3 linked regions of the Arabidopsis thaliana genome follow. The protein of the gene in region 3 interacts with the protein of the main gene of each other region in a biochemical or structural test. Each region holds a gene or a part of one and is shown on either strand. Other genes may lie near its edges. The genes, in order: DCL3, HYL1 and DRB5.

Evidence for each region.
Region 1: the proteins of DRB5 (region 3) and DCL3 interact in far-western blotting, tested with the Arabidopsis thaliana proteins (one study listed by BioGRID).
Region 2: the proteins of DRB5 (region 3) and HYL1 interact in far-western blotting, tested with the Arabidopsis thaliana proteins (one study listed by BioGRID).

The regions. Positions count from the first base shown.
Region 1 is NC_003074.8:15,749,027-15,761,902, reverse strand, and holds DCL3 (dicer-like 3), read right to left. Parts: upstream 8,356-12,876; coding exon 8,222-8,355; intron 8,135-8,221; coding exon 7,960-8,134; intron 7,827-7,959; coding exon 7,713-7,826; intron 7,317-7,712; coding exon 7,182-7,316; intron 7,086-7,181; coding exon 7,012-7,085; exon of another isoform or gene 6,901-7,011; coding exon 6,837-6,900; intron 6,762-6,836; coding exon 6,630-6,761; intron 6,534-6,629; coding exon 6,381-6,533; intron 6,251-6,380; coding exon 6,121-6,250; intron 6,036-6,120; coding exon 5,930-6,035; intron 5,851-5,929; coding exon 5,658-5,850; intron 5,570-5,657; coding exon 5,409-5,569; intron 5,327-5,408; coding exon 5,001-5,326; intron 4,802-5,000; coding exon 4,530-4,801; intron 4,445-4,529; coding exon 3,924-4,444; intron 3,844-3,923; coding exon 3,749-3,843; intron 3,642-3,748; coding exon 3,412-3,641; intron 3,324-3,411; coding exon 3,114-3,323; intron 3,032-3,113; coding exon 2,564-3,031; intron 2,474-2,563; coding exon 2,201-2,473; and 9 more. Other genes in the region: AT3G43930 (BRCT domain-containing DNA repair protein), read left to right, coding at 35-124, 207-412, 509-662, 746-955; AT3G43910 (MutS2), read right to left, coding at 9,214-9,366, 9,454-9,573, 9,666-9,712, 9,798-9,903, 10,355-10,516. UniProt on the Arabidopsis thaliana protein: Ribonuclease (RNase) III involved in RNA-mediated post-transcriptional gene silencing (PTGS).
Region 2 is NC_003070.9:3,134,993-3,145,250, forward strand, and holds HYL1 (dsRNA-binding domain-like superfamily protein), read right to left. Parts: upstream 5,362-10,258; 5' UTR 5,127-5,361; coding exon 5,102-5,126; intron 4,606-5,101; coding exon 4,343-4,605; intron 3,940-4,342; coding exon 2,968-3,939; 3' UTR 2,657-2,967; downstream 1-2,656. Other genes in the region: AT1G09680 (Pentatricopeptide repeat (PPR) superfamily protein), read right to left, coding at 1-938; AT1G09690 (Translation protein SH3-like family protein), read right to left, coding at 1,415-1,672, 2,202-2,438; AT1G09710 (Homeodomain-like superfamily protein), read left to right, coding at 6,127-6,206, 6,302-6,491, 6,753-6,839, 7,038-7,406, 7,938-8,202, 8,279-9,240; NET2B (Kinase interacting (KIP1-like) family protein), read right to left, coding at 9,446-10,258. UniProt on the Arabidopsis thaliana protein: Double-stranded RNA-binding protein involved in RNA-mediated post-transcriptional gene silencing (PTGS).
Region 3 is NC_003076.8:16,433,698-16,442,984, reverse strand, and holds DRB5 (dsRNA-binding protein 5), read right to left. Parts: upstream 4,721-9,287; 5' UTR 4,539-4,720; intron 4,447-4,538; 5' UTR 4,439-4,446; coding exon 4,193-4,438; intron 4,099-4,192; coding exon 3,879-4,098; intron 3,785-3,878; coding exon 3,069-3,784; 3' UTR 2,930-3,068; downstream 1-2,929. Other genes in the region: GDPD2 (PLC-like phosphodiesterases superfamily protein), read right to left, coding at 137-418, 508-567, 790-974, 1,058-1,127; AT5G41071 (uncharacterized protein), read right to left, coding at 2,734-2,916; AT5G41060 (DHHC-type zinc finger family protein), read right to left, coding at 5,445-5,885, 5,971-6,204, 6,292-6,582, 6,660-6,842, 7,300-7,383; AT5G41050 (Pollen Ole e 1 allergen and extensin family protein), read left to right, coding at 8,909-9,080, 9,161-9,287. UniProt on the Arabidopsis thaliana protein: Binds double-stranded RNA. May be involved in RNA-mediated silencing.

The sequences.
Region 1 (12,876 bases), on a different chromosome or scaffold from region 3:
AAGTCTCTAGTCCTTTAATCTTGTGCTCCTACAGGAATCTCCTACAGATAGGACGAGACCACACAAAGAAAGGCAGAAGATTGTGGAATCCGCCAAAAAGACTGTCACAAATCGCCACGCAAAGGCATTTCATCTTTTTCTCTATTTCATCTTCGAAAACCGAGCAATCGCTAAACCGAACTATATTTTCTTTGTTCATAAAACAGATGGGGAAGACTCTGATCCAGCCGTTAAATCTGAGCAGCCTTCTAGATTCTATCTCTTGGACAATATCTGAACCAACTTCAACAGCTAGTGTTATCATAGATAGTTTCAGCAACAACGACGATATCGAAAGAAAATCTTTATCTGCCTTCTTTGATGCTAAATCTAATGATTCATTCACTCACTCCATGAGACTGCTCACAGAAAGGTTCCTATGTTCTACTTCATCTATGTAACTTGAGATCCAAGCTACTCTTTTAAGTTTATAAAGCTCATGTTGTTTATTGTTGTTATGGCATGACAGTGAGAGAATGGAGTTGGTATACAAAAACCATTTTATAACATTACTACTTCCAATCGATTGGTATGGTGAAATGGGACCTTCTTCCAGGTCGTATTTCAGTGAAACCGGCTTTACATGTCAGCAGATTCTCCAAAACATCTATGCATTCTATCAGGTAGCAATGTCCTCATATGTGCCAGTATCTCGTTGACGAAACCATTTTCAAAGTAGTTTTGTGTGTTGTATGTACTGTCGCAGGAAAACATGTCCGAGGAAGAACTCAAAGCAGCTATTCACACCAACTCGAGGCACAGTGAAAAGCTCCGAGCAGCGGACTCGGTGATGAAAGGCGGGAAGACTGTATTCAAACGTATTCAGTTTCTCGGATCCGAGAAAGGTTTCGAGATGCTAAAACGTGTTAGTAGCTTCAACTGTAGTAATGTCTATGAGCTTATCATTAAGGCATAACAATTAACATATAAATTAGAGATTCAGATACAAAACTATTATTTGGGAGTTCTCGCATTTCCAAGATCTGCTCGAGATGACTAAATGTGAATCATATATAGTACAGTCTAAATTAGTCTACTTTTGTATTATGACGATCTTGCGGCGCTCGAGCTCATAAAGCAATTCCACGACTGCAGAGTCGAAGGAACTCTTCTTGTCAGGCCTTGCTTCTCCAGCATACATCACAGCCTCACGATTGGGTATCCTTAGGGTTATGGTCGATGTGAAACTGCTGAAGCTAGTCCGCTTCTCACCGCCATCTATGAATTCAAACGGAGTTCTGTGCAGTTATCAGTCTCAGATTGGTCAGGACTCGGGATACATGAGAGCAGAGAAAAAAGGAACCAAAATGAGAAGTCACCTGGATTTCTCTTCCGAGGTATCGAAAGTAGGCATTGGCCACAGATGCTTCTTGCAAAACTCATGTAGAGTTCCACGAGGCCCGCCTTTCTTCATGTTTATAGGTCCAATAACTGAAACACATAAAACCATGAAATGCATAACCCTTGATACAAAAAAAAAAAAAAACTGAAGAAGAAAAGAAGAATCTCTCTAGGTAAATAACAGTGCTTACATGGAATCACTATACTCTGGATTTCAGTAGTCTCTGAAGTCAGAGTTTCTCTGTCGCTATGATTGCAAGCAAGATTGACATCCATGGAACTTTGATTATCCCCGAGCGAGGTTTTACGTGAAATGTTTCTCTTCTGAAGAACCAAAGAAAGTTTGAGCACACACACCAACACACACGCAAGTGGAAACATCAGAATATATATACCTCAAGTTGTGTAAGCAGATGTGAAGCTGCTTTTCCCAAGGCCAGTTTATTTGTCTGTTCAGATCCATCTCCAGTTAAAAGAACATCATCCAGCTGCAACTGGATCGTGGCTTGTGCTTTGACACCATCATTTGAACATTTCACTCGAAAGAAATACCCAAGAGAGTCGCATAGCTCATTGAGCTCCCGGTATGGAGGAAGCTGAAGTTTATCTGGAGTTACAAGTGGAGAAAGCAACGGCTCAAAGACTCTCCACACTTGATCGAGATCTAACCTCGTATCGATCAGCAATGCTCCAGCGATACTCTCCACAACATCTCCAAGAGCCTAAACCAAAATAGACAAGTATGTCAACCTATTTGCTCTCTTTATAATCTGAAATCTCAGGCAGGGACTTTAAATGGTCATGCAAGTATATTTTTTACCTTAGGGCCCTGTATTGAAGGGATTGATCTACCAGTCTCATCTGGCTTTTGAAAGGACATCAGATAGTCGTTTATTTGAGTCTCGAGAACCGTAGCACAGCGTTGAAGGTGGGTATGCAGGTTATTTTTCACTGCAACTTGCGCAAAATTTTCATTGTTTACACATGCAGAACGAAGATCGGTCATCTCTCCAGGCCCAGTTTGTTCGTAGGTGTTAAAAAGATGACGGGTTATTAGAAAATCCAGTACAGAATCGCCAAGAAACTCTAATCTCTGTTTGAGGAAAAAAATGATAGCATGAGGTTGGAAACCTGGGAATAAGTCAGCCAAATAATGCAGGGGTTGAAAATGATGAAGTCATACCTCGTATGAATAGGATTCACGAAGAGAGGAGTGTGTGATAGCCTCTTTTAAAAGAAACTTTGCAGAGAATTCATGTTGGATCTTTCTCTCCAACTCTATGAGCTCATCTTCTTTAGGAATGTAACACCGTAGAGAAACTCTATTGATGGCTTCAACGACTAGGTTTGGGTCAAAATCGACGTCAATACCGAGCCATTTCATCATATGGAGAGAAGCAGACAATCCACCGCTTACATAATAGGCACCAATCAGGGCCTCAGCGCAATCTGATACAGATTTTGAAACTACCCATCTATGACCCATGTCGCAAGACTTGCCTATTTTGATAGTCATGTTTTCTGTGAAGAATTTTGGGTCCAATGGTACTTCTCTAGTATCAATCCCACACTTGCAAGGAACAGGAAAAAGAGAAAATTGACCAGGTGCAGTCCAGCGACGCGGTTCAAAAGCGCCATTTCTTATGTATCCCTATCAAACCAATCCCCATGGAAAGATATTTCTTTGGTGTTCTGACTGATGTAAGACATTACTTGCAAATGTTAGAAGATACCTGTAGTTTGCGACTGGTTGTCAAGCGGTGAAGATTTGAGTTAGATATAATCGATTGTCTCTGCCGTGATAGTTGCCCCTCATCTTTGTCAGGATACTTAAGGAATAGATGACAGCTCGCAACATACTTCAAGACTGAATCCCCGAGCAGTTCCAACCGCTCCATTGAAAATGATTCGGGGCATGTAAGTGTTGTAACTGCTTCAAGAATCTGATTTATTGAACCAAGACAAGAGTTTAATGACAATCAAGATATCTAGTTTCATCTCTAAATGACAGATAGTTTTCAAAAACCATACCGATGTACTTGATATACTGAAGTTATCTATGCTACAATCAATCTCTTCCCTAAGCTGGCTGGCCAACATTAGAGACTCTAGGCGGTGCATCACTGAAGGCAGCAAGTAGATTGATTTTAGCACAGCACGCGGTACATCAATTCTAGCCAAAAGCTCTGGAGGCAAATGCGCATGGATATTCGGTTTTCTTTTCCTAACATTGCCAGCTTTTGGTTCTGTCTTCACAACCACTGTCCATTTACATTGGAAACAACATCTTAGAGCTCACACACTACAATATCATGAGAACATACACAATGATTCCATATGTTGGAGAAATTCTCAAGAATCAACTTACTCTCTTCATTGAAGTCGACTAAAAGGTTGTGCGCATGGTGACTCTGCTTCAACTTCATCAACGGCTGGTTCGGGTGCGCTAAAACAATCCCATACCTGATTAAAAGGGAATAACATTAACTAGAGAGTTATGATAAGTAGATTGAAAGAACAGCCAAAGCTAGAATATCACTTACTTTTTGTTAAAATATTCTGCATAAGTAGCATAGCCTGATGAGGCATCCACCTCAAAGGGGCTCATAGCAGAAGAATCGCTTACGGCTTCAACTATAGAGTATATCCGTCCAGTATGAATTGCAATGACCACAAGTTCTTCGAGACTATTTTTATCAGACGAAGCATTGGCAAAATGAATCAGATTCGTTTCTTCCATTTTATCGTCTAGTAAGACTTCCTGACCGGATGAGGTATTGCACTGATTCCCATCACTATCCCGAAGATCAAGAAGAGAATTTTTCTTCAAGAACTCAACTATTGAGGCACAGGAGTTGATAGCTGACCAATCAATTGTCGCACTCGAAGCTAGATCATTTGTTTCAACTGGTAGCAGTAGAAACATAAAGGCAGGGTGCCAAAGAGAACTAGTGTCAGTTTGAAGCAAAAATTCTCTCTTTGTTCCCTGTGACTTAGATCCAACAAACAACTTTCCAAACATGCCATTAAAGAAAAACTGCTGAAAATATTTTGCTTTGACCAGCTGCATCCAAAACACAAAGAAGAAGACATCAAGTTCAAACCATGAAACAAGAAACTGTTTATAACTAGGGATCAGAGTTATGTACCTCCTCTTGACTCAAACGTATCTGGCCACAAGGTGAGACAGAAGCCTTGACAAGCTTCCTGACCAAGTAAAGGTCCATCTCAACTTTACCAACATCCTCGGCGAGAGTTGACTCAAGCAAAAGAGAGAAACTCGAGTATACTTCGCCAGAAATATTACAACAGAAGTCAAACTTATAAGCCTGAAAGGTGGCGCCATCAATATTTTCTCCCCAGGTTCCTGACAATGCGTTTGCACAGGTTGTTCCGTGCAACTCCTTACGTTTTTTTGAACCTGTTCAGCGAAAAGAAAAAGAAATGTATACATAAATAAACAAATTAAGACAAGCTCCATGACCTTAGACATAGACATATGATATGCAACTGCTGATGTGTGCGTGTATGTGTGTGATACAACAGCGGCTGATAGAGGAACTAAAGACTAAAATCAGCGACACCAGCTAATTGACGAATTAATAAATTAGAAAACATACCTGCAGCCGATGAAGATGATTTACTTTTAGAAGAGGCAACCTTCTCTTTGCCGTTGGATTGTAAGAGATTGTTATCCAAGCGTAACTTTTTACACGGTGGTAACTGCTCATTTCTGCTAGGAGGATCACTCATAGTTTGTGTGGAAGCTGCTTCCTCAGATACAGTTATGTTAGAATCTGGGATAACCATGGATCCAATCTCCTTCACACCGTGTCCATTTTTCACTGGAGGTGGACACGATTTCAAGTTTGGAGCTTCTGGATCTTGAATTAGGACTTCTCTTCGCATAAGGTCATGCAGATGGTCTCTTTGCTTCGGGTTCCCTCTACAATAATTAGTATTCAGAAATAAGCTACAAAAACTGGAATTTGGTAAACATTTTGTGTTAAATAAATATTGCTTCCTACCTTTCAAGAAACATGATAGACTTAGAATTACTCTGTTTGGCATGTTTTTGAGACTGCGAGTAACTACACATTGTTTTGGGCAGGTCAAAACAAACCATGCATGAGCAATCTGGAACCTGAAATCCCTCTTCAACCACATCTGTGATGAATAAAAGATTCACCTACATGCATTAAAAAGCTTTCAGAGAAGACAAAATAAAAACATTTCTCAATCTATAAAACATCTGACTGTGATGAAGAACAGGTAACCTTGCCATGTTGAAATAAATCAGGGATTTCAATTTGCATTTTCTGTGCCGATACATTGGTGGAGGGGTTGTTTTCGGTTAAATACAAGACATTAAGGTAAGCCAAAGAGGCTTCTTTCTTAACGAATCTTTCGATCACTTTCGCAGTTATAATTCTCTCAACTAAAATAAGGCACTGCTTTTGCTTGTCACCTCTGCAAGCAAATTGAAATTGTCAGAACAGATGGAGATCTTGGTGCAATTTTGGGAGTTGGATAAACAATTTAAATTTACCTAAAGGAATCCAATAGATGGAAGAGTTCTTTTAGCTTTGGAGATACATGCCCAGAAATTACTGCTGACAGATGGTTTTGCTGCAAATCTACCAGACTCTTATCATCTGTTAAATAACACAAATGATAAACAGTGTAAAAATTAGTGACTAGAAGAGGACTCAATGCAATATAGAGCTTTGAATACATTACCTTGCGGCAAATACACCCCAATGGTGGATAAAATATCCTCAAGAAATTCCTTGCACACCATTGAGCATTCTTTATAAGTTTCACTTTCCTCTTTCGTATCTGAGATTTTCTCCAAGCAGACTTCAGCCGCCTATCGCGAAAGCAAGATGAAAAAAAAAAGAAAAATAATCAGCACAACAGGTATGCTAGCGGGAGAAAAAAGTAACAATGAGTAAGCAAATGAAGAACTGGTAATAAAAACTAAACTGGTAGAAAAATACCAAGTGTGCGCAAATCAGGCCAAGATTATCAAGGCAATGCAAAATCTCTCTGTAGTCGATAGACAATCTCTTTTGATATGTCTCAAACTTATTATCCATATTCAGAAAACTGTCTTTTCCCAACTCTTGAAGCCTTCTAAGAGAAGCATCAAACTGTACGAAAAAAAACAGAATATTTTTCAAGCACTCTGAAACATAATAGGAAAGAGTCATGTTCTGGATCATATTCAGTGAGCATATATTATATACCTTGAGGTGTGAAGTTTCTAACTTTTCTTTCAATTCCAAACTACAGGATGGTGATGGGTTATACAATATTGGACCTTCTTTAACCGTTGTAGCAAACTTTTCCACTCCTTCACGCTCTTCAGGATTAAAAATCTGAATTCAAAGTAAGATTGCATAGCATTAATTTGTAAACTATATCTGTTTCCTTGTTACACAAAAACAAAGTACCTTTGAGTCCATGAGTCTCTCAAGTTCTGATACTTGAGCTGCATAGTTAGAGGGAGAGGAAACACTTGTAGTATGAGTTTATGTTCCTTACATGAAGTTCAAACATTAAAAAGTAGTTACAGGAAGCAGGATCTTTGGTTTGGCATACAGAGGAAATAAGAAACTTTTAAATAGCATGCCTTTTCTAATGACGGCTGACGCAGTCAATCCAAATATCTTCGGTTTGCTAGTGGATTCGTGATAGAATTCCTTCATGAAAACAAGAAAGAATCTAGTTCGTTGACAAGTTATGGAAACTCTATTATGAAAAAACTAATAGAGCTTATCATTACTGAGAAAACACACCTTCATTAACTTCGCATAGGGATGATTGCCAGTGGTATGGTGGCATTCATCTATTATTAGAAGACATACCATCTCTAGTTTCAGGAATGCACTTCTAAGGACATCCAATAATATTTGAGGAGTCATAACTAAAACCTGAACCATACAAAACATAATTTCATTGCAGATAATAGACTCACGTGGATTCGGCAACAAAAGAGAAGTATGTGATTCTGTTAGTGAGATCAATGCAGTCACAAATCTACGTCAAGGGCTCAAGCAAACAAGTTCAAACAAAATAATTAAGAAATAATCAGCATTGGAAGAAGAACCAACCCCAAAAGTAACAAATTGGAATGGGCTTTTAACTAACTCAGAGAACATTCATGACTCAAAATACAACAATGAGCTGGTCAAAGTGGATTACAACATTCTGCCAAAGTTTCACTAACCACACAAAGAAATTTTGATATAAAATCACCAAAACTACAAGCAAGTCACTTTGTTGGCGTATAACTAGCCAAATATACACAAAAAGAAACAGAAACTTACATCGTGCTTGCTAAATTCCTCATCCCAGCGCTGAGATGTCCATTTATCAACTCCTTTAGCTCCAAAGTACTCTTCAACTTTCAAATTCACAAGTGCTCTGATCTCACAGCATTGCTAAAACCACACACACCAATAAAACATTCAAAAATAAGCTCCCAAGGCGACTCATTAGCCAACATCATCAACTCAAAATGATTAAAATCCAAATGAAACAGTTTTTCTTTTTACAATCAAACAAGAGACTTGCCTGTTTAACAAGATTCACAGTTGGGGCCAAGAAAATTATCAATCTTTTGTCTGTATCAGAAGAACCCATAGCTTTGATAAGCCTCTTAGTGATCTCTGACTTATCAATCCCTGTCCCCAAAACAGCAATTATGTTCCTGTTCTTAGCAACCTCGTACACTTTCAATTCATAACTACTGCCAAAAAAAAAGTAAACTTTAGTGAAAAAGACTAAAAACCCATAAGACCCAAAATCAAGTACAAAGAGAGGAAGATGATGATACCCATTAGAGTCAGTCATCATAGGAGAAGAGACAGAATCAAGATTTTGATCTCCATCGATTTCAGAGAATTTTCTCTTAAGCGAATTGCTTCCCCCACCTTCCTCCATTTTCTCCGGCTCCAACGACGAATGCATGACGAACGGATAAAAAGGAACACACTTAACGGGAAGAGTAGAGGAATTTCGAATTTCGACTTTGAGATTAAAACAAAAAGGTGATTCTTTTTCTCTTTTTCTGCACTGACCACTGGGCAAGTGTATAAATGAGGTCAGAACATGAGTTTCGAATGTTGAATTTTTAACTAGAAAAAAAAACTGCAACAAAATTAGTCAAACTATATTAATTTTTGGGTTACCTTTTTTCGATACTTTATTTTTGATTTTACTCTTTCTTCAAATATTTAGGCCTCTAAGGCCCAATGGACCTGACAAGATGCATAGATTCATTGGATATACTGCTGATTGATTACTTTTCTTCAATGTGCAAGCTGTTTCATGTTGTAAGTAACTTCGCTTTTTTTATTTATCCGGGTAATCTGGTAGAAATGTACTAAAATACTTTAGCGTGGACTTCTTCCCAAATAAACACCACAATGTATGTTCCGAGTTTGGAATGATTTTCGACTAAAAGAAAGCTAAAAATGTAGAAGAGGGGCTGACTTATGTTAATATCATCTAATTCTAATGTCTCTTTCAACCCGAGACAATTTACCTTGTTTTGTCAGAGATTATTTATAATTTGTTAGGTCATGAGGATTTCGGTCGGGTTAAATCATAACCAAACTACATTAACAACTCTCACCTTGAAAATTAGATAAATATAGAAATCGAAAAATGACCAAATTTTGAGAGATTTTGAATACGGAAAAAGAATAAACAAAATATTTTTTTCTAATTAGTGAAGAATTTTCTGAAAGCCAAAGGAGCAGAGAAAGAGATGCAATATATAAGTGAAATCACCAAAACATTACTCATTTTTACATGTTAGATATGTCACTTAATTTGAGAAAATGAGTAATATCTTGTATCACTTGTAGCATGACCATATGCAGCAATGAGTAGTGCATTAGCTCGAGCATTGTCGTCAATTTTCGTTGTCAATTTAAGTGATGGAAACATTTCCAGTGCGAGTTTCCTGCCACCATCCTACGAAGAGAAAAGCAAATATTTTTATTGCAATTGATGTGAGGATAGACATGAAATCATAAAAGTTTGAGAGTTAAGATTCATCACCAAACTCCAAATACTAAGATTAAAATGTTTGTCCCATGTAGAAGGAGTAACGTAAATAACAGAAATGCTAGATGTGAGAAGTGTCCATAATCCACATCCAAGTCCATCATTGTAGGCAGTCTAAGATATAAAGACACAATCATGTTTCAGTGTATCGAATCCATATCATAAACGTACTGAAGTAAAAAAAAAAAGAGATGAGTAATTTTTACAATAGCGTTTTCAGGATGAATATATTTCGCTACAAATGCCTTGGTTCCTACAACAGTGAAGAGACCAAATTGATTTTAAACATAACGCAAAGAACACGCCACAACAAAAACACAGTGAAATATCGTTCTTACCGGATGGAACATCTAGACTACGAATCAGTTCTAGCATTGATTTTTCGTTGAAACTACGTGTTCGGATGTTTTGAACTACAACTTCCAACTGAGGAGTATCATATACCTTCACACAGATTTAACACACAAAACTTAATCCATATCAAAATGACTAAAGTGAATTTTCCACTGTATTCACCAAGAGAACAGTTTACAAAGCATGTCTTATTTAACTTAAGGGATAGATAACAAAACTCACTAACTCAATAGTTACAAACAGGTTAATTAGTTGTAAATCTTCTATCATCCAATATTAATTTCATTCATATAATTCCTATAGATAACAATCGAACCTTGTATATATAAATTATGATAAACCAAGTCCATCTGCCTGAGATTACCCAATGAAATATCGAACCTTGTATATATAATTTATGACTAACCAAGTGCATGTCCTGAGATTACCCAATGGAATATCTTAATTTACTTCACAAACCCTAGAATCTTGTAGTTTCACAGTTCTAGGGTTTCAGAAGAAAAACAATATTCTTTTCGAAAATTAATTAGTAGCGATTCACCTGAGCAAAACAAGATCCCTTGTCGTCGAATTTCAGCACAGCCAAAGCTCCGGATAAGTTAGGGTCAATCCCAATGATCCAATGTGGCTTAAAATTCTCTTGAATCATCTCGTCGTAGTTTGGTGAAGAAGAAGAGAGAGGATTCAACGATTTTTGCTTCATTAAAGCCTTATCTTTGTCCTTCTCATGTAAGGAGAAATATCGAGAACGGAAAGATTTGAGCTTAGAGGAGAAAGTCGTTGCCCTTAGTTATACCTACAAGAATCAGGGAAGTAAGGAACGTAAGTACAAAACTAATTAACCTACTCACGTACGTTCATACAAAGTTTGTAACAATGGACCACAAACGTAGAACTAAACAAACCATTATGTAATCATGTAACCAACCCATGTCCATAACTTTCTTGTACAATAAGTCATAGATTCATTGGAGCCTAAAAGTGTAGGTTATATAAGAGATAAACAATAAAAACTTACGTCTCCCAAAGATCTATATATTTACTTAAACGAAAGATTAATTAGAACTAACTTCTTTTTCCTCTTCCACTGCTTTGTTTATTCAACATAAATTTGCGCAGCTAAATCGTTTTAGATACGACGAAATCGACTATTGGAAGTAAGAAAATTTGGGATATGAGAGAATATGCTCTGCAATCTGGTGTGATCTACCAAATATTATCTGAAGCAACGAAACGAGTCACTATTTAATGTTCAAATTAGTCGTCTATTACGTTTTAGGTTTTTTTTTTTTGTTTTGTTTAATGCAAAAATAAATCCAAAAAAGTTTAAATATTTATTTAACTAAACAAGTACATAATTGTACATCCCAGAGAGATATTACGTTTTACCTTTCCAACATGACTCAGCTGAACGACATTATCAACATAAAATAAAATTTCATTAACAATCCAACTTAAAAATAATTAGATAAATATAAAAAAACGGAGAATGACCAACTCAGTTGGGAGACAAAATTCAACACATAAGAAGAAGCTACGCTAGCTAGTGAAGAATCTACTACCACCATGAATCATATGTTTGATTAGAAAATGATTTTTAGTGGAGAAAAATCAATCACATAGATCAGACACATGGTTAGAGTCCCTATATACAAGAATTGGTTGGCCTTTTAACCAAACCTAAGATTCATAATCTAATTTTTACTTAGAGAGGGAGTGATGAAAGAGTTTATTATAGACACTAGAACTTGTTGCAATTAATGTACATTAGCTAGAGATTATCCAAATTTAGAATAGAATCGACAGAAAAGATAACAAAGTTTTCCACACCTCCACAGGAGTATCATATACCTTCATAGATTTAACACACAAAACTAAATCCATATATATCAAAATGCTAAAGTGAATTTTCCTCTCTATTCACCAAGAAAACAGTGTACAAAGCATGTCTTATTTAACTTAAGGTTAGGAATAGATAACAAAACGCACTAACTTAATAGTTAGAAACAGTTTGATCTATAATATTAATTGGAAATTACTCAAAAATAAATAACTATATAAAGGGTAAAATATTACATAAAATGTTCTCAAACTAAGGCAAACTAAGAGATTTCGTCAAGGGGTAAAATGGGCAATTTAACACATTCTGACACACGGATTCTGGATATATGGGTCGGATCTATATCCAGTCAAATTCGGATAACACGCGATCCGGCCGGTTGGAATCTACACCTACATTTTTGCAACCATTTTAGCAAATAAATCATGTACTTGACACTTATTTACAATGGCATGCCAGTGGCATTAAATATTTTATTTTGCTAATTAAATACGAAATATTCTATTCAATAATAGTTGCCAAAAATCTCTCAATATATCTAATTGGTATTAATTATTCAGATTTGAAAATTTAAAAATTTTATATTGCGCTCAACAAACGTTTCCAAAAATCTCTTCAAAACTTTCTACACGGGTTTATTCACATATCTATAATCTGAGATTTTTTTCATCAACTAATTACTCCCAACATACATTTTCCGAGATTTCTACTCTACGATATCTGTTGAATTATATATCTTTTAAATTGATTTGAATTGTATATATCTTTTAAATTAAAATATTACTTAAACAAAAATAATAAGATAATGTTTAATTTCACTGCACGGGGTTAGATGATAGGACGAGTTTGGGTCGATAGTAATACGAGACGGTATACCATGGGTGAAATTCATTAGATGGTAGGACGGGTTTGGTCAATAGTAAATTGAGACGGTATATCACGGGTGAAATTCTAGATATAACAATCAAAATACAATTATATTATTTTAAACACTATACAAAAGAAACAATATTAACAAAAAATATAATTTCAATTTTAATTATTGTTATAGTTTAGATTTTAACATAATGAACTGTATGTTATTGTTCCCATATTTTTAAACAAAATCTAATAGAGTAATTTTACACTAAAAAGTTATAGATATAAGAATTGTATAGTTAGAAAATAAAAAACATTAAATCATATATATTTTTAATCTACTAAACAAATTAAATGTTTTATTT
Region 2 (10,258 bases), on a different chromosome or scaffold from region 3:
TAGGTGAAAACATCTGGGCGTGTTCTGCTTTTCTCCATCTGATGTTTGAGCCTAAACCCTTCATCCAAGTTTCCTACTTTACAATACCCATTTATCAAAGTGTTGAAACTAACCACTGTAGGCTGCAAACTCCTTTTAGTAATTTCGTCGAACACCTTCTGTGCATCAGATATATTGCCTTCTTTACAGAATTTGTTCATCAAAATATTGAAAACGTACACATTCAAGGGAAACCCAGCATCCAAAATCTCCATATAGAATCCCCAAATAGTCCCAGTTGGATTCAGCTTCATCATCCGATCAAGCAAATTGCCACAGCCACGAATTGGAACATCAAACCTATGCTTCCGAGATAGCCTAAAACATTGAATAGCATCGGGTATGAAACCTAGATCCGTGTACGTGATCATCAAAGCATCAACAAGGAAACCACACATAGGTGTTACTCTCATTTCTACCAAAGAAATGAAAACTGAAGAAGCTGAGTTTTTGCCTTTACGAGAGACGACGAGCTCGATAAGTGACTGTGCTTCGGTGAACATTTCGTGAACAGCAAGAAAACGAGCCAAGACGAAGTAAGTCTCAACGGTAAAACGAAATCCAGGCTGAGATGAGATGAATTTGAAGAAAGCGAAGATAGAACGTTGTGGGAGGGAGAGAGGGTTATGGTTGATGAGATCAACCACATGATGAACGCTGAGCGAAGGCAGGACCTTTCTGATAGAGGGGCAGTCAGTGAACGAAGAGAACTCCAACGGCGGATCCTTGTAAGAATCTCTGATGGCAACTGAGAGTTTAACAAGAACTGGGTCATCGTCGTTGTCTGCCGCGGAGACAGATTCTTGAGAGTACCATGTTGACAAGAGGAATGATGCACGAGAGAATCTCTGTGGGTGAGATTGAGAGAGTGTGCATCTTAGAATTTCGATTCTGAACATCTCTGAGACTCTGACTCTCAATTTCTCCGGAACCGGCTATTTCCAGTGAGTAGGCAGTGACTTTTGAATGAAAAGTCGGGTTCTTAATGAGTAACCGGACTTCTGCGAAGCTGGTTCGTTTTGGTTAGCGTTTAATTTTCCGGTTCAATGCGTTATTATTTCGAATTGAATCGAGGAAGACTGTAACAGAAAGGCACTTGGCAACATCGACTAGGTTATATTGTAAGATGCTATAATTAGAAGGAAAATGTCTCCTTAAATAATCTCGAAAATTTGTTCACCAAAGAATTTGACTAATCACTAAATAAAGATGTTAAATGTAAGTAACAGAAGAGATAATGAAAATGATAGTTATAAACGAGATAAAAAGATCTGTTTCATAAAATATCTGGAGATTCTACAGAAATTGTAGCTAAGACACATGAAGAGAAACTCAAATACGGAAGCAACAACTGCAAAACACTGGGAAGATAGAACTAATAGCCTCCCTTGAGATCGTTGACGACATCGTACGGGATTGGAGTGACAGTCTCCAAGGTCATTCCTTCGACCATGAATCCTGGTTTGGGTCCTTTAGGCTGTCTCTTGGTGCTGATGGTCTCACCATTGGCTTTGGCTGCAGCCTTGAGCTCATCATTCTTCTTCTTCCTCAGCTTGAACTCCTCAGCACATCTTGATTGCTGCACATGCTCCACACGCACATGAATCCTCTTCCTTATGATCCTGTTGCCAATCTGAAACACCCCCAACATGTGTCAGTCATAATACCCAATATAAGTAGTACTAGCAAAAAGATTTGTGTTATTGTCATAGGATAATCCATAATCCATATTACACAGTAACATCTATAGAGAGACTTATAAAAACAAGATGAGTAAAAAAGGCCAAAGTTTAACAATTAAATAGTCATGAAAGAAAACACACTAGCAGTTTAATGAACACGAGTTGAAGTATTGAATAACTGGGAACATATGAACACTGCGTGCTAAGGCTAAAGACTAAACGAGACCAAAGCAATCAACTTTCAAATCTGAAACAGGATCACGAACCACGCTACTGCATAATAGAAGATAACATCTTTGAGCTAAAACTCAAAATCTGAGCTCAATTGTAGCATAGAAGAAGATTTACATTCCACAAACCTATACTCAATCACACATTTCTACATCAAAGCAATAGATCAACAATCCAAATAGCACACTAAGAAGCTCAAATCCTAATTCAATGACACAAAAGCTGAAGAGATAGGAGAGTTCATCAGACCTGTTTGTTGACTTCAACACCGACGGCGCGTTTAGTGACGTTCCAGATACGACCAGTACGACCGTGGTAGAACTTGTGAGGCATACCCTTGTGGATCGCACCATTCACCTTCACATCGACGTAATCGCCGACCTTGAAGGTTCTCAGGTAAGTCGAGAGTGGAATGTAACCCTTCTTCCTGAATGGCCTCGCGAACAGATCCCTCGTTCTCGCCCGAACTCCATGACCCGCTGGCATTTTTCCTCCTCGTGCGACAACTAAAACCCTAGATCGCCGAAGAAATGAAATGAGGAAGGCAGAGTGTATTTATATCTCTGTTTTGAGATTAGGGTTTCGTAAACGGACCTGTTGGGTCAGCAAGTTGGGCTTCTGTTTTTTAGAACCAGCCCACAAATAATCAAGAGTGAGGGTAATGAACCTTCTATTGGACTTTTGTTTTTTAGAACCAGCCCACAAATAATGAAGAGTGAGGGTAATGGACCTTCTGTTGGGTTTGTGTTTTTATAACCGGCCCACAAATAATGAAGTTTGAGAGTAATTTTCATTTATATGTAGATATGAAGCTTCTGTTTTGCAACCCCACATTACTTTATTCGAATGACTCAATCGACCACCAAATTGTACCAATCATATTAGTTTTGATTTTCCGCTCAAATATTACTTCTCTTCAATCTGTGAATTACTACTAGACTAGATAGGAATCACAAAATGGCTACGTAACCATATAGTAACTATGACAAACTCACAAGACTCCATCTTGACACTGTTATGCGTGGCTTGCTTCTGTCTCCACACTCCCAAATGCTGCCTCCTTTAACCCGCTCATGCATGAAGAAGATTCCAGATTTGGCGTTGTCTCAATTTTCTCTGTCTCCACACTCCCAAATGCTGCCTCCTTTAACCCGTTCATGCATGAAGGAGGTTCCAGATTTGGCGTTGTCTCAATTTTCTCTGTCTCCACACTCCCAAATGCTGCCTCCTTTAACCCGTTCATGCATGAAGAAGGTTCCAGATTTGGCGTTGTCTCAATTTTCTCTGTCTCCACACTCCCAAATGCTGCCTCCTTTAACCCGTTCATGCATGAAGGAGGTTCCAGATTTGGCGTTGTCTCAATTTTCTCTGTCTCCACACTCCCAAATGCTGCCTCCTTTAACCCGTTCATGCATGAAGGAGGTTCCAGATTTGGCGTTGTCTCAATTTTCTCTGTCTCCACACTCCCAAATGCTGCCTCCTTTAACCCGTTCATGCATGAAGAAGGTTCCAGATTTGGCGTTGTCTCAATTTTCTCTGACTGATCGTTTTGACAATGATCAGTAGGTTGAGGAGGGATGATAATATCTTCAGGATTTTTAGCTACTGTGCGTTTTCCTTTCTGAGCTTTCTTCTTGAACTGAGCCTTCCTGGCTTTAAGAGTCTTGACGGTTTCTTTAAGCGGGATAGCTGCCTGTATTGTCTTCTTCTCACAAGGAAGTACAGTAAGCTGAGTGTTGTAGTTGGCAAGGTTGTTTTTAGTGTCTGACTGGATCGCTAAAAGAGCAGTTCTCCCAGCGCTAATCTCAGCATCTTTTTTAGTTCTTGTTGCAGCTCCTGTGTACTTTATGCCTCCAATCTCTACAGTACATGTGAATTGTGTAACTCTCCCAAGAGTTTCGACCTTCTGGCACTGATACAATGGAATCGCGTAATTCATCTTTTGAGCGTATTCTTGAAGTAGGTTCTTGCATAATCCCGTTTCGTGCTGCATTAATAAGCCATTCAAAGTTAGACAAGAGCAATAACTTACAGAAACAGCCTAAGAATCTTCCCTCTAGAAGTTGGCAATACACATAAATCCGATAAGACAGAAGACACTTTATTAATGAGTGGATTCTTTAAACTCTTGAATCTCGATCATTGTCCAACCAAGAGCCTAGACAAATACAGAATGCCCCCTAACGTATTCTCACAGCTCCCCTTTAAACCTTCAACTCTGAAACTAACCATGAGCTTCCCTTTAAACCTTCAACGCTCAAACTAAGCATAAGGACTACTGCTGAGATGGCAAAGCTACAATTCGCTGCTAAACCCCTAGGCTAGGTTCAATAGTTTTGCAGTGAACTTAACAATAATCACGAGCGAAATAAGAAAGATGAGGTGCTTACAACAGGTTGTGAAACACATTGGCTTAGCTCACTGGATTTTGCTAATTCCCGGAGAGCAACCTCGGCAGCTGATTGCTCTGCAGCCTTACGATTGAAGAATCCAGGCAAAGAATTATATCTGACACCATCCAGTATCACAGTCGATTGAAATAAAGATTTGTGTGAAGGGCCTTCTTTAACGATCTCATAAACAGGCGTTGGGAGCTTGTACTTCTGAGCATACTCCTGCAACCGACTTTTGAAAACATAGCAATTGGAAACACCTGAGCAGGAAAAAAACTTCAAAATGAGGCAAAAGATAAAACAGAAACAGTGATGATGCTATCCACTACAGCATAAATTGCAAATAAACTCAAAACGACAACAGGGAACAGCAGTGAACGAGTTCTGAATAAAGCTGACGACTTTCACAAAGAAACTATACTTATCCAAAAGGGGAGAGACAGTTTTAAACCAAGCTTCTATGTTCCCTAACAAATTGAGTCAATAAATCATCATCTCAAAAGAGTAAACTTGCCAATTGCCAGAGAGATCTACGCTTAAACCCACAAGGGACAGATACACTTGTAAATTCTAACTAATCAAAACACTGCAATCCAATTTCCAAGAAGAAAGAAGTGAGTAAAGAACAGAAGAAAGGGGAAAAAGCATGATCTGGTTTCAAAATTAAAACCCGGAAAAAACAACCCATGAATGTTGAATTAGAGATAATGCAGACATGATGGTGAAGAAGAAGAAGAAGAAGAAGAAGTAATTCACCAGAGGAAACATCAGTGGAGGTCATTTTCACGAGCAGAATGTAGCTGAAGAGACGAATAATAGGTTAGTAGGGCACGGCGAAGAGCAAGAAAGAAACGTGCTGCTGCTGCGAAGAAGCAGAGAGAGAGAGATGATTCTTCTTCACCAAAAACCCTCTCCCCTCGACTTCCTCCTCTTTACTGATTTTTATTTTTGTTTTTTTTTCACAAGGGCAAACGAAAGAAGGTGGTTCTTAATTGTTATGTTACAAATGTTAATATTGAATTTAATTTCAAACCTTTATAAATTATATTATATTCCATAAATTTACCTTTTTGGTCAAATTTTCCATAAATATAATTTACTTGTGAATATTATATGAAAGCAAAATGTTTTTATCTTTGAAATATTTAATTTAATTAAAAAACTAATTACATATAGCCTAATTTCGTATTTCATATGTAGTTAACTAATGTATATATCCACAATTGATTAACCTTTTTATGGCTAACTTTATTCACTAGTAATCCCTTTGTTATATTCACACAGTTTTTGTATTCACAAATAATTAATTTGTTCTCCAAGTAAACATCAATAATGATAATAACCGTTTAATAAAAAATAAAAACAATTTGAGCCCATATTTGAGCCCACTTGAGCCTATGTCCCTTAACAGAAAAGAAAAATATTTGAGCCCATATTTGAGCCCACTTGATCCTATATCCCTTTACCAGAAAAGAAAAATATTTGAGCCCATACTTTTCGCTTCTGATAAGCGTAGAATAATAATAGTCGAATTTACCACCTTCCTTTTCGTTCCTTTTTTTTCTTCTCTCTTCCGAAACACCTCTGCCACGCGAGTACTCTCCACGCTCTTCGACAGTCGTGACCATCTTCTTCTCCGATCGTCTTCACCGGTTTTCTTGGGCATTCCCTCGTGCGTAAGTCTCTGTCGTTTCGTTTCGTCTATAACTCCCTCGGGTTTTGGTGAAATTTGATTCCTTTGTCCTGTTCTCTGCAGAATTGTTGCAATAAATACGACGAAGATGGTTGCTAATAATAATACTAGTAGCAATCGCAGGAAGAGAATCATTACTGAAGGCGACATCGCCACTCTTTTGCTGAGGTAAAAATATCTCCTTTTTTTGTTTTCTCTTTCCGAAAACGTTAGTGGATTTGGGTTTAGTCAGTGTGGCCGGGGTTTTTGATTTATTGACGCAGATATGATATGGAGACGATACTGAGAATGCTACAGGAGATATCTTATTGTTCCGAAACCAAGATGGACTGGAATGCGTTGGTGAAGAAGACCACTACCGGAATTACTAATGCTAGAGAGTACCAGTTGCTATGGCGTCATCTTTCTTATCGGCATCCTCTCCTCCCTGTGGAAGATGATGCTCTACCTCTGGTACTTATTCTGTCTCTCCTCTTTCCACTTTTGATGAATTGTAAAAGACTCAAGTTTATGTTGTAGAGTTAGTTAGTTTTCTTCAATAAAAACTCACTACTACTTTGTGTTATCAGTATCATCTAGAAGTGAGTGTGATGAAATACTAGTTTATGTTCTATGTGGCAGTGGATACTAAAACTTCTTGGTAGCATTAGGGATCGATGAGTGTCTCTCGCTGGTGTAGTTTACAGATTTTTTAAACGAAAGTTGCCTGTGCAGGACGACGATAGTGACATGGAGTGCGAATTGGAAGCTTCTCCTGCAGTCAGCCATGAAGCATCAGTGGAGGCTATTGCACATGTCAAAGTAAGAACGGAATCATAGATTTCATTCCCTTGACAGAATTTCAGAATCTGAAGTCCCTAGGCTCTATTCAGGATAACACCTTGCTGTTTTCTTAATGATTAGTGTGTTGGTTACTTGTTCTGCATATCAATCTGTGCTTATCCAGAGTTCCCATTTTATCCAAATATCATTAAGTTTTCGTTTCTCTTGTATTCCCAGGTGATGGCTGCTTCATATGTTCTAAGTGAGTCTGATATACTCGACGATTCAACAGTTGAGGCTCCCTTGACTATAAACATACCTTATGCTTTGCCTGAGGGTTCTCAGGAACCATCAGAGTCTCCTTGGTCGTCAAGAGGGATGAATATCAACTTTCCGGTCTGTCTTCAGAAAGTTACATCTACCGAGGGGATGAATGGAAATGGTTCAGCTGGTATTAGCATGGCTTTTCGGAGGAAAAGGAAAAGATGGTCTGCTGAGGAGGATGAGGAGCTGTTCGCCGCTGTAAAGCGATGTGGTGAAGGGAACTGGGCTCATATTGTTAAGGGAGACTTTAGAGGAGAGAGAACCGCCTCCCAACTCTCGCAGGTTGTGATTTCTCTTATTCAATATTGACTGCTCTTTTTTCATTAGTTTCTTTGAAGTCATTTTGTAGTGTATCTTATAGTCTTGTTCTTTGTATTACAACCTGTTTATGCATCATTATCTATATTCTGTTGACGATGAATGGTGGATATTACCTTCCCTCTTTCGTGTTGTTGGAGGTGGTGGCTCTTTACAGACGAAGTACCACTTTGGTAATTACTCTAGAAATATATCTGTTGTCATCTAGTCTGGTATGGACGTGGGGTTTTTCCCCATTTTTCCGGGTTCGAATCCCGGCAACAGATTCTTTGGATGATATGAGTAATAGTCTTTTGGCAATCATAGAAGGTAGCTAATAAGACTAATAAGACTAAGTTTTATGATATTTGTATCCATCTTTGTATTTTTTACGCATATACTTTCCATCTGATAAAACTTAACAATACTTTAGCTACTTGGACGAGCATGGGACATTTTGCAATTGCTTACTCTTTTTCCGTTATTGGTGGTAACAACTGACTATTTTCTTTGTAGAGGTGGGCGCTTATAAGAAAAAGGTGTCACACTTCGACCTCTGTTAGCCAATGTGGCCTACAAGGAACTGAAGCGAAACTAGCAGTTAACCATGCATTATCTTTAGCTCTGGGAAATCGGCCCCCTTCAAATAAGCTTGCAATAGGTACAAGTAGCAGAAGATCCTTCCCTGCTAATTCTAGTATTTATGTTATAACAGAGGATGCTTTGGTTTGGTTACCACTGGCTTGTCTAAATCAGAAATTAGCTTACCTGTTTAACTGCGGTGGGGTTTGTGGTTATAATATTTGGGTAATTTTCTTTGTTTATTTGGTTCATCAATTAGACTGCATTTTATGCAGGTCTTATGCCAACGACGTCATCTTGTACCATCACAGAAACGGAAGCGAATGGGGGAAGTTCTTCTCAAGGTCAACAACAGTCCAAACCAATTGTTCAAGCATTGCCTCGGGCAGGAACATCACTTCCGGCTGCAAAGTCTCGAGTTGTTAAAAAAACAACAGCAAGCTCCACTTCCAGATCGGATCTTATGGTAACAGCTAATTCAGTAGCTGCAGCTGCATGCATGGGTGATGTATTGACTGCTGCATCAGGACGAAAGGTCGAACCTGGAAAAACTGATGCTCCACGAGTGCCAAAGACTAAACCTGTAAAACATGCTTCTACAGTCTGCATGCCTCAGCCCTCAGGTAGCCTCTCCATGCCAAAGGTTGAACCAGGAACGAGTGTTGCCGCCTCTATACGGTCTCTAGCTAATGGAAAATTGAAACCTGTTATGGCTTCATCATCTTCCAACAAACCTCCTCTCATAGCTCCTCGTTCAGAAGGATCTTCAATGCTTTCTGCTTCCGCCCCCTTGGCTTCTCTATCAAGGATTGTCTCCAATCAGAGAGTTTTTGCAGGCTCTGTCCCAGCTACTGAGATTGTCACTTGCAAACCAGATGGTGGACAGAAAGGGCAAGCTCGTGGAAATGAAGCAAGCTCATCGGCTGCAATCCAGCCACATCAAATAACCTCAAGAAACTTGGAGATTAGCCAGGGAAAGCAGGCTACACAGGCTCAGTCCCCTAATCTCTTGCCTAGGAAAGTTCCAGTAGTTCGGACTGCAGTTCATTGTGCCACTAACCAAAAGTTGATGGATAAACCATCTGATCAAACTGTAGTACCTATCAGAGGAGCTGGTTCGCAATCTAAAGCCAAAGGTGAAGTAAACAGTAAGGTTGGTCCGGTGATCAAAGTGAGTAGTGTTTGCGGAAAACCCCTTGAGGTTGCAACTGTGGCAGGGACCGGACAGGGTGTTTAGTTCTTTGACAAAATCGTTGGATACTCTGTTTTGGAGCTTTCATTTGTAGTTTTTATTAGACTGAAAGAAAGATATGATGTAAAGGAAGCCATTCAGTACATTGGTACTAATTAATAAGAATCTCATATACTTACAATCTTCAAACTCTACAGCATATAGTTAGATTTGAATCTCAGGACTATTAAAGTTAAGGGAGATCACTTCTTCAGCTTCTTTTGACATATTCAGGGAGCTTTGCAGGTGGGATAATGTAACTACACTGTTTGTTCAGAGCTGGAGATGGACTGACACAAGAGAAGATTGTTGAGGTTTGCTTCGGTTGTTGTTTATACTTCTTTAACTTGACACCAAACAAGAATGACCTTAGTGGAATCCTAGGCTTTCCAGCTGATGATGGCATTCTCTTGCTCAGAGATCTTGTAGCCGTCCCATCCAAAATCCCAAGATTCTCTTCTAGTTTGCATACAACTCTTTCCACTTCAGCTCTCAGTGCTCTTGCACGATCAAGGCCTGCTTGAAGTTCGTTGAACACCCTTTTGTTCTCCTGTTTCATGTTAAGTATCTCACCATGGAACTTTGCAGCCTGGTAACCTCTTATCTCTGTATTGCTTACTTCAGTTGCACCCGATTGAGACGTGACCCTTGAAACTTCATCTTTGATATTGCAAAGTGTTGCATACCTACCCTCAAGTTCGTCTCTCAGAATTGCACTGTTCTCTAGCCATAACTGCAGCTCTGTCCGAATCTCTCTAAGGTGTCTATATATAGGCTTTGCCTCTGATGCAAGTGCAGTGTTACTACTGCTCCCAGCATTACCTTGTTGCTTGCTTTCAATTTTCGATAGCTCTGCTTTCAGGTCTTGAACTGATGTGTGGTACTTCTGTATCTGATGAACAGATGTGCTAAATCTTAACCAGAATTCAATATTCTCTTCCAGCACCGCATCAATATCTCCACGCACTTTTTCTTCCACAGTTGGAATTTTCTTTCTTAGGCTGTCACTAATGCCTGCAAATTT
Region 3 (9,287 bases):
AGCATTGATACAAAAAGGTCTCAAGAGATCAAATTAATTGTGAGCACTTTTAACAAATGGTTCTATTGGACCCTAATAAATATTCATACTCCAACAAGAAAAAGAAGGAAGAATACGGAACTAGTATTGAGCATACCTGTAGTACTGATCTCAGGATATGGACAAGAAACTCTCGTTCATAGACGGTCTGATCATCAAATTTCAACTCGATATTGAACCCAAGAGTTTGTTCAACTTGTTCAAAAGCTTCTTGCAACGTACAAAGAGAATCATCCAAATCAACGTCCCATTTCAAAACCTTCCCTTCTTTAGATTTCCTCATCAGTGTCTTCCCTATTTTCTCAGTTTCCTTCTGAGGTCCATAAAGGAGAAACTCAGACAGACTCAGATCCGTCACTCTACTCTCATTAACAATACCCTGAACCATAACACACAAACACCAGATCCATGAAGACAAGATCCAGAAATATAAAACCAAGATCTATGAAGAAAGCAATGTAGACTTACATTTTCTTCAGAGTAGATGAAATCATCATGGAAAATGACAGGGCAATCATCTTTTGTCACCTACAAAAGAAAAACCACACAAAGCTTGGAATGCTTCTCTATGTGCCATCTCTCTCTCTTTCTTCAAATCTTCATGTTCTTATTTTTCATTTCAATTTCTAAGAATCTATAAATAGATATCTAAATCAGAATCTTCTTCCACACACAAAAACATAAACATAAAACCCCAATCCTCTGTCTCATTCAAATCCTAAAGTTGATTACATAGATCGGAGTACCAACCTGAACATCGAACTCAATGAAATCAATCGGATACTTAGCGGCGGAATTGAATGAAAGAATCGAGTTTTCTTTAACACCTCTCGCTCTCCGATCAGACGATTGCAACACATTCATACCGATTCCTCTATGTCCAATCACCGAAAACCCCGGTAACCTAAACGACGTCGGTTTGCTCAACTCTAAACCTGTAATCAAAGACAAGATCATCAGAAACGAAAACAGCTCAATAGCCGACGAAACAGAGAGAGAGAGACAGAGAGAGAAATACCTTCGGATAAACCGTAGACAGAATCCGGGAGGCTAGGGACGTCGGAGACGAGCACAGTTCTAAGAGCCATTTCTCAAGAGTAGAGATATAGAGAAGAGAGAGTAGATTAGGGATTTCGAAAACGTTTTTGTGTGAGGATTTGTGGGTGTTTTTTTGCAGAGTATTTATATTGAGAAAAAAGGGATATGAGGAAAAAGGAGGAAGGAGCTGGATATGCGTGTTCGAATATTCCATTCCACGTCAGCAATGTGCCTTTCTTGATGGTTTCTTCCCGCCTTTTGAGGGATCTGGTACGAACACAGAAGAGTACGGTTCTCATCTTATACGTGGCATTGAGTCATTGGGAGATTATGTTATCTTTTCCACAGCTTAGTCATTGTCCCGTTAATTATGAAATTTTGGTTTTTTTCCAAACTTAGTGAATATATTATTGGTTTCATTTTAAAGATTCCTGCCTAAATATATATTAAAAAAAAATACAAATTTGAAATTTCAGACTCAAAAAACAACAACAAAAACCAAAATAACCTAAATTATTGTGGAACAAAATTTGTGAAAATAATACGTAAATTGTTCGAGATATATCTTGAAAAGTGCGTTTGACATAAAGGAAAATGTAGTTTCATTCAACTCCAAATATGTTTTACACGTTTTATTAATGGTTTGAAATATTGTAATGCAACACAACTGTATAGTTGGTCAAATTTGCAGCAATTAGACTAGTAAGCTTTTTAATTAAAATAAGATTTACTGAGTACTCATCCACGAAATCTGACGAGTGTAATTACGCAATAGAGAGTCAAAAAATAAAATTACGCAATATAGGAATAGAAATAATTTATTTATTCGATTCTCCAATATTTATGAACCGTGATTTGCAAGACACAAGATTTAAAACAAGATATTAAAGGTGATTTCAAGATCAATATAACTGTTAGTTTAATCAATTCTGAGTAAAAAAAGATTATATTAAATTCTGAGTTAAAAAAGATTATAATTTAAGCTTGATTTGCAAGTTGAGAATCCGTTAATAAATTGTGATCCATTTTTGGAAATTGTGCTTTTGAAAAAACCCATTTTTGGAAATCAAGTAAATATGGATTGCATTTTAAAAATATTGTATCCACGAAAATCTGACGTATAATAATGCAAGATATACCTGTCAAGATAATGAGAAAATTGATTTATGGTAGGTTCGTGGATCAGATCAGATCCAACAACATGTTAGCTTTCTTGCTACTTGGATCCACGTCATAAATTGTCAGACGATTAAAAAAATTTCCAAGCCGAACAAGTGGCTGGTTAACTCGTTACCTCCTGTCCGGTTGGGGTAATATGGTTAGGTAGGTCACTAGTTTTATGTTTCGGTTTGTTACGGCCCACGTAAAAGTTAGATGGCCCCAAATTAATGGACCGGCCCAAATAATTGAGAAGCAATCAAGTCTCGTGGTCTGACCAAAATAATTTCATCAAAGTCAAAATATACCAATTTGAATATTTGAGCAAAATCCTGAGTTCCTAACAACATAGATTATACGGATCTAAATCGGATAATGACACAAACGTCATTCTCGCAAACCATAATGTTTATATGGTCCAAAATCTTTACACAAAGAAAAATGTAACTTGTGAAATTTATAATTTCGAATTATTAAGTTTATTTGTTGGAACCGACGTTACAGAGCAAAACCATTAATGATGAAGAGTGGGAAGCAGAGCAGAGCATTCGGCGCATTAATGGAGGAAGACAAAACAAAACCCATTAATTGTTTTCTTGCAAACTCCCATTTCTCTTCTTCATCTTCTTCCCTAATTAATGCTCTCTCTTTGTTTTCGTTCTCTGTGCAATTCGCAAGCATTCAAAGTTCATGTCGGACTTTTAGAAAATTCAAACACTTCAAAAAAAACAAGAACACATTCAAGAAACGGAAACATACTGGTCTATAATTTATCTATGTGACAAACACTTGACAAGGATTTAATTTGAGATTAACCCATTAACCAAATTTAGCTAACTATCATGGGTTTGATCCAAAATTCTCGATTCTGAACCAAGTTTGATCATTTCGCGAGTTAGATTCTTCTTCTCTTGGCCTCCCAATCCCGGCGTATTCAGAACAGAGCAGGAATTATTGGATGAGGTGAATTCATTGACTGATGATGATAATGATGATGGGTTAAGGTTGGGGTTTGGTTTCGGTGGTGGAGCTGCGAAAACTGGAATCACTGATCTCATTTGAACCGCTGGAGCCAGACTATAAGGGTTTACGCTACACCCTCCGACAAAGTTGTATCTGTTCATGTCGGAAAAGGGCATTTGCTTACTCAATCTGGTTGATGTTTCATTGACTTTGGCTTTGCTGTTGATCATCTCTGTCGCTGTCTCTGTCTTAGCTTCTTGTGATGATCTGTCTTTGTATTGCTGGATAAATGGCAAAATTTTGGAGGATTTAGGTGGTGGTGGTGGGGGAATTAGAGAGATGAAACTGGAGTTTTTGTGTTGATTCGGTGTTGATGTTGATGATGATGAAGAAGCTTGATTGGTCAAAAGATTGATCCATCTCAATCTCTCAATCAACAAATCCTTGTTTGAATCTTGTTGACTTGTTCTTCTTCTCCATTGGTTTGTTGTCTCTCGTCTTCTTACTTCTTTGGGTTTAAATCTTGAGAGTACTCTTGCTACTGCTTCTTGTTCCTTCTCTTCATCTTGTGAATCCAAGCTTGACACTGCACAGTAGAGAAACAGAAAAATGGTTTCAAGTAGAAAAGTGAGAAGCTTTTTTGGGGTTGATGGAACAATTTGGAAGATAGTTATATATACTTTTCTTCAAAGAGGACCAAGCTGCAATGGCTGCGTTTTTCTCAGCTTGTTTCTTTGTCTTTGCTGATTCTCCTGTAAACGTCATCCCAGCAAGTTCAACAGTACAAGAGAAACCTGGGAAGTGACAAGATCCTGATCTCACACTTGTGTACATTGGTAGATCAAGACCAGCTCTATGTGCTGTCTCTTGAAGCAGGTTCTTGTAAATCCCTGTCTCATCCTTGTATAAAGAGTGACATGAAGATATACGATGTTACTCTTTTTGCATTTTTTTGTGTATGATCAAAACCAAGAAGAAAAGACAGAGAACTTACAAGAATCTTAGCAGTTAGAGACTTTGAAGGGACTCTAGACGAAAGGACATTAAGGGAAACTTCAGCAGCTGCATGCTCAGCTTGTCTGAGAGTAGAACAGTAAGTGGGACTCTCAAATATCTCACCATTGAAGTTAACAGAAGCTTTGAATCTTGGAGCATGATCTGGTCCTTCTCTTATGCAAGTATATGATGGTAAGTTGAAACAACTTCTCTGTGCAAGCTCTTGAAGCTGATTCTTATACATTTTTTCCCCTGTAAATACACCAAAATCAACCAAAGTCAACTCCAGAAACCACAAATCTCTTTTGGTAAAGTCTTAAGAGAAGACAAACGAAAAAGCCGACCTGTTGAAATTTGGTATCTTAAGTTTTGGCTATTTAGTGTTTGAAAGTAAGTTTAAAGAAGAGAGAGAGATAAAAAAGAAAGTTTTTGCAGAGGTTTTTGAACTCTTCACTCACATGGTAAGGTACTAAAGGTTCTAAATAAAGAGTAGAAGAGGATGCTAAAACAGTAATAGTGACATCTCAATTGAAATAAGGTTAGTCTTTTTATATAATTTATAACATGTGCATACAAATAACAATTATGAACAATGCTATTGACTCTCTTTATTGTCTTTGTCTATGATGTTTGACTGGTCAGTTACCTTCGTCCTCAGTTAATAACAGTTATTTTTTCATAAATGTTAGTGAAAATGATTTAGTCTGATACTTTGAGGCACTTATTAATGTTTAGTTTGACCAATTTGTTGATTATGTTCATTGTGTTTTGTCTTTGTTCAATGCCAAAAAAACTTTATATTATTGCTAATCTTCAATTTCCTAAACCAAAAATGTTGGCTTGTGATGTTAAATCTCTAACCTTTAGACTTTAGAGCTTTGAAGAACAAATAAGAAGCCTTTAGAGCTCTTTTGCATTTATTACAGAGCCGTGCTTCAATGAAGACTATAATAAGAGTTGTCTGGTCTTCTGGTCCACTTGTCTGAAAATTCAGTTTCTGCAATTTTTATCATATGCAAAGTACAGTATGAAAATCGTCGGTATTCATTTTGTTTTCTCATTCTGTGAAAGATAAGTCATAGATTACACTAACACACAATGATTTACGATTTAAATGTCTGAAGAACAACTAAAAATACTCATAACATCTGAAAATATCACACCAATTCACAATTGATTCCCGTGTAAACACACAACACATCAATACATCAAACATTTAAAACACCTTTCAATTTTCTCTTAACCTGCTTCTAAGCTCTTCTTGCTGATAAGGCCATAACTTCTGGTGACATTTCCCAGTTTGCGTTCCTCGGGTGATTGTTTGGCCTATTGATTTGCTCATCACCATTCACTATGTTCCCCATGTCTGGTGATAACTCGTTTAACTCATTGTCGTTAACATGAAACCGTTCATTGTTATTGCCATCTTTGCCATCACCATGTTCAGCCATTGCCCAAACACCCTTCCTCCCCATTTCAATATCATCATTGGCCTTTCCCATGTTTGGACTCATAAAACCGCCAACAACTGATCTCGACGGCATTGGATTTTCCCTTGGTACCATAGCCCTGAAGTTGTTCTTTGAAGGAGGTATTGGAGAAAAAAAGATTTCTTTGAAGTTATCAACCACTCCTTTGTTATGTGGGTTGCTATGCCGATCATAACTGTATCTGAAATTCTCATATGTAGTCTACAGAATAAAGAAAGATCAAACGATTAAACACGCATATCGAATGAGAGAGGTTTTTTCAGAAAGAGGCAAATGATTAGGGTACCTGATTTGTGCTGATGAGATAGAGATGGAAACATGTTAAGCCTCCAACGAAGAATGTAGATATGAATGTGTAGAGTATCAGAGCAATGGAAGCTGGAGTTTTGAGCATTGCTTTCAAGATACTTATATCTTCGGACTCTTTGATCTTCTTTATGTAGACACAACAAAAGGCGAACACATATACACAGAGAAGAGTCGTGGAGAAGACAAACATGAAGAAGAATCGATAGTTTCTCTGCAAATTCCCAAGGAGAATGAGATGAATTATATAGACTGATGTCAGAAACTAACGGACAGGAAAACGAAAAACCGAGAAACTTACTTGAGCAATACATTGACCAACCCAAGGACAGTGATGGTCAAACCTTTCTACACAGTTGTTGCAAATCGAACAATGTGAGCAGCGAGGCGGTCTATAGAGCATGCAAGTATCACAGTACTTGACCTTGAATACTTTTCCATTAACTTCCACTTCTTTAACACGAGGCAATCTTGGAGTTTGGCTTGTTCCCGAGCCCGTGTTGCCATCAACAACTTCTGGTTCTGGAGGATGAGAATTTCTTGGGATAATCCCTGGATCTCTTCCGGATGTAAGCATCAGCAAAATCAAATCCTGAGGGAAGCATTAATTGTTATGAATGATCCAGTCACAAAACGTTTTACAATGCAAAGCTAAACTTTTGTACTCACATAAATGGTGAAGACAACAGCAACAAGGATTATTGAGACTCCCCAACTATCAGAGAAGTCATCCATTAGTTTGCTAGCGACGAAGATGCAGAAAATTGTAACAGGTGCCACAATAAGACTTATGGTCAGACCAAGTGATCTTACATCCGGCCCGAAGATAAACCTTCCTTGAAGACAAAATATCTGCAGAAATGGGACAAATTTAGAAAATATGTTAACACTTTGGGTAGAAGGATTTAAGGAACAAACCTCAAAATGTTTAATTCCACTAGGTTACTACTAAACCAGATTTAAATTCGACATTGAAAGCAATATACAGACAGCATCAACTATATAACCTTTGTATGAAGAAGCATTCCTATAAATGTAGCAAGCATATTCAGATAATGTCCTAAGGTATTGATTAAAGGTAAAGATTTCATGATTAAATGTAGACAACTACCCAGAAAGCTACACTTCTAACACAAACCCAAGTCCCAATTTTTAAGCTTTACAAGATTGGAAACAGAGTAAACTGAGCCCATGAACGGATTAATAATTAATTTATACACAATAATAGGAAAAATAACAGAAAACTAGCTCAAGTATAAACACAGAAGCAAGTAATTCCAAAACCTAAAGCTTTCACATTAAAACTCACATTGCTTCCTTTCCATGTTTGGTAAACCCGTAAATCACAATCGGATCCAAAACCGGATCTTTGAGGAGGCGTCACCACATACATCTCTCTCTCTCACTTTCTATCGCTTGCTCTCGATTTCTTCAAATGTAAGCAAAGGGGAAAACACTAAAACGAAGATAACGAAAGAAGAAAAGAGAAAGCTTTTCAGTCTCCGTTGAAGAAATTCTTTAGATTTCGGCAAGTCTCCGACATGAAAATGAGAGTAGTCAGAGAATTAGATTTGCTCTTGGCTTCTCCAACTTCTTCTTCTTCCTTCACTTTTTTTTTTTCCTGCAAATAAATATAATATTTTAAAAATCGACTGTTAGCAGCTACTGGAGTCAGTCTGTCACCGTCGTTTTAGTTCAGGTAAAGTACTTTTCAGAAGCTAAAAGTGAAGAACGAAATAAGCTGACGTGGCACTTTTCTAATGGTCTGTTTCCTTACCTTGAGTACTCGACCTTGTTATTCATAAAAGAGATTCGATAACGGAAAAGAAATTTAAACATTTTGTTTTACAGCGAATTTACATCTAATTTTTTTTATCTCTATTGTTTTCCACTTTTTCTCAACTATTGATTTATATGTACCTGCAAAAAAAAACTACTGTATAAATTTCGTATGTTGAAGAAAATAATGTTAAAACTTAAAATAATTTGTGAAAGGAAAAAATAAAGTTGAAAATAGAAATGATTGGGAAACAACACATAAAGTGGATGGAGTCACCTAGAAGCATTACAAGAATTTAAGGGCAAAAGAAAAAAAGAAAAAAAAAATTAAAGTAAAATCTGCAGCAATCTTACATGAAGAACAATTTCAAGCTTAATGGGCCTTCTTTAAAGCTCAAGCCCATATATTGTTTCCAACTGATGAACTTGTAATGTAAGCTTATCTTCTCTAGTACACTTAAACCTGAAATTGTTATGCAATAAAGTCTTATGCTGTTCTATAATGTGACGAACAAAAGTCTATAATGTGAGCTTATCTTTGTATAGTTAGTTAACCTGAAATTCTCTTTCCAGAATTCAGCCACAACCGAGAGTAAACCGGGAAAATATCATAGTTTGGCTTCTTGTATTGATATTTAAAGAGCCATATCCTCTGACTACTTTCTTGGTGTTTATGCTGATGAATTGATGATGTTTACACTTCACTTTCAGTGGTCCATACACATATATATACACACTAGTGGCTTACCTTCTCCCTTCCATTTTCCAGTTTTAGCCATTTTTTATAAGGGGATTCATAGACAAAAACCCTTAAAATAGAGAGCATGAGAGCTCAATAAATGTTAAACCTAACCAACCAATCTCTCAGTTTCTCTACTTTTCCTTTAATTGGCCTCTCATCTCTTTGTGCCTCTCTTTACTCATCTCTTTTTCCACAAGAGTCTTGAGTTTTATAAAAAAGACAAGCTTGAAGCTTTGTTTGAATGGAGTTACTGTTTGATCTTTGTTTGTTCTTTTGTCTTTAACCACTTGGCCCATTCTTTGTCTGTTTCTTTCATCAACCACATAAACAAAAAGGAAACCTCATCTGTAAACAAGTGTTTATCCAAGGATAAAGAAAAAAACTGAAACTTGTGAACATGAAGCAGAAACTGATAATGCTTCTGTTACTTCTGCAACTTCTGTCCTTAAACTCTCTGTCTCTGAAACATTCTTCAGCCAAACCAAATGGAAAGATCACTGTAATGGGTCTTGTTTACTGCGACGTCTGCTCCAACAACAGTTTCTCCAATCACAGCTATTTCATTCCCGGTAAAGAATCTTATCAACATTGTTTGAAATTATAGTTAAAATGTCTCTCACTTTTGTTTTAACTGAACAAAAAAATACAGGTGTGGAAGTGAGAATAATCTGCAGATTCAATTCAGCTTCATCGAGAACTAGAGAGATGATTACGTTCTCTGCAAATCGAACCACAAATGAGCTTGGACTCTACAAGCTAGACATAACGTCTCTGGA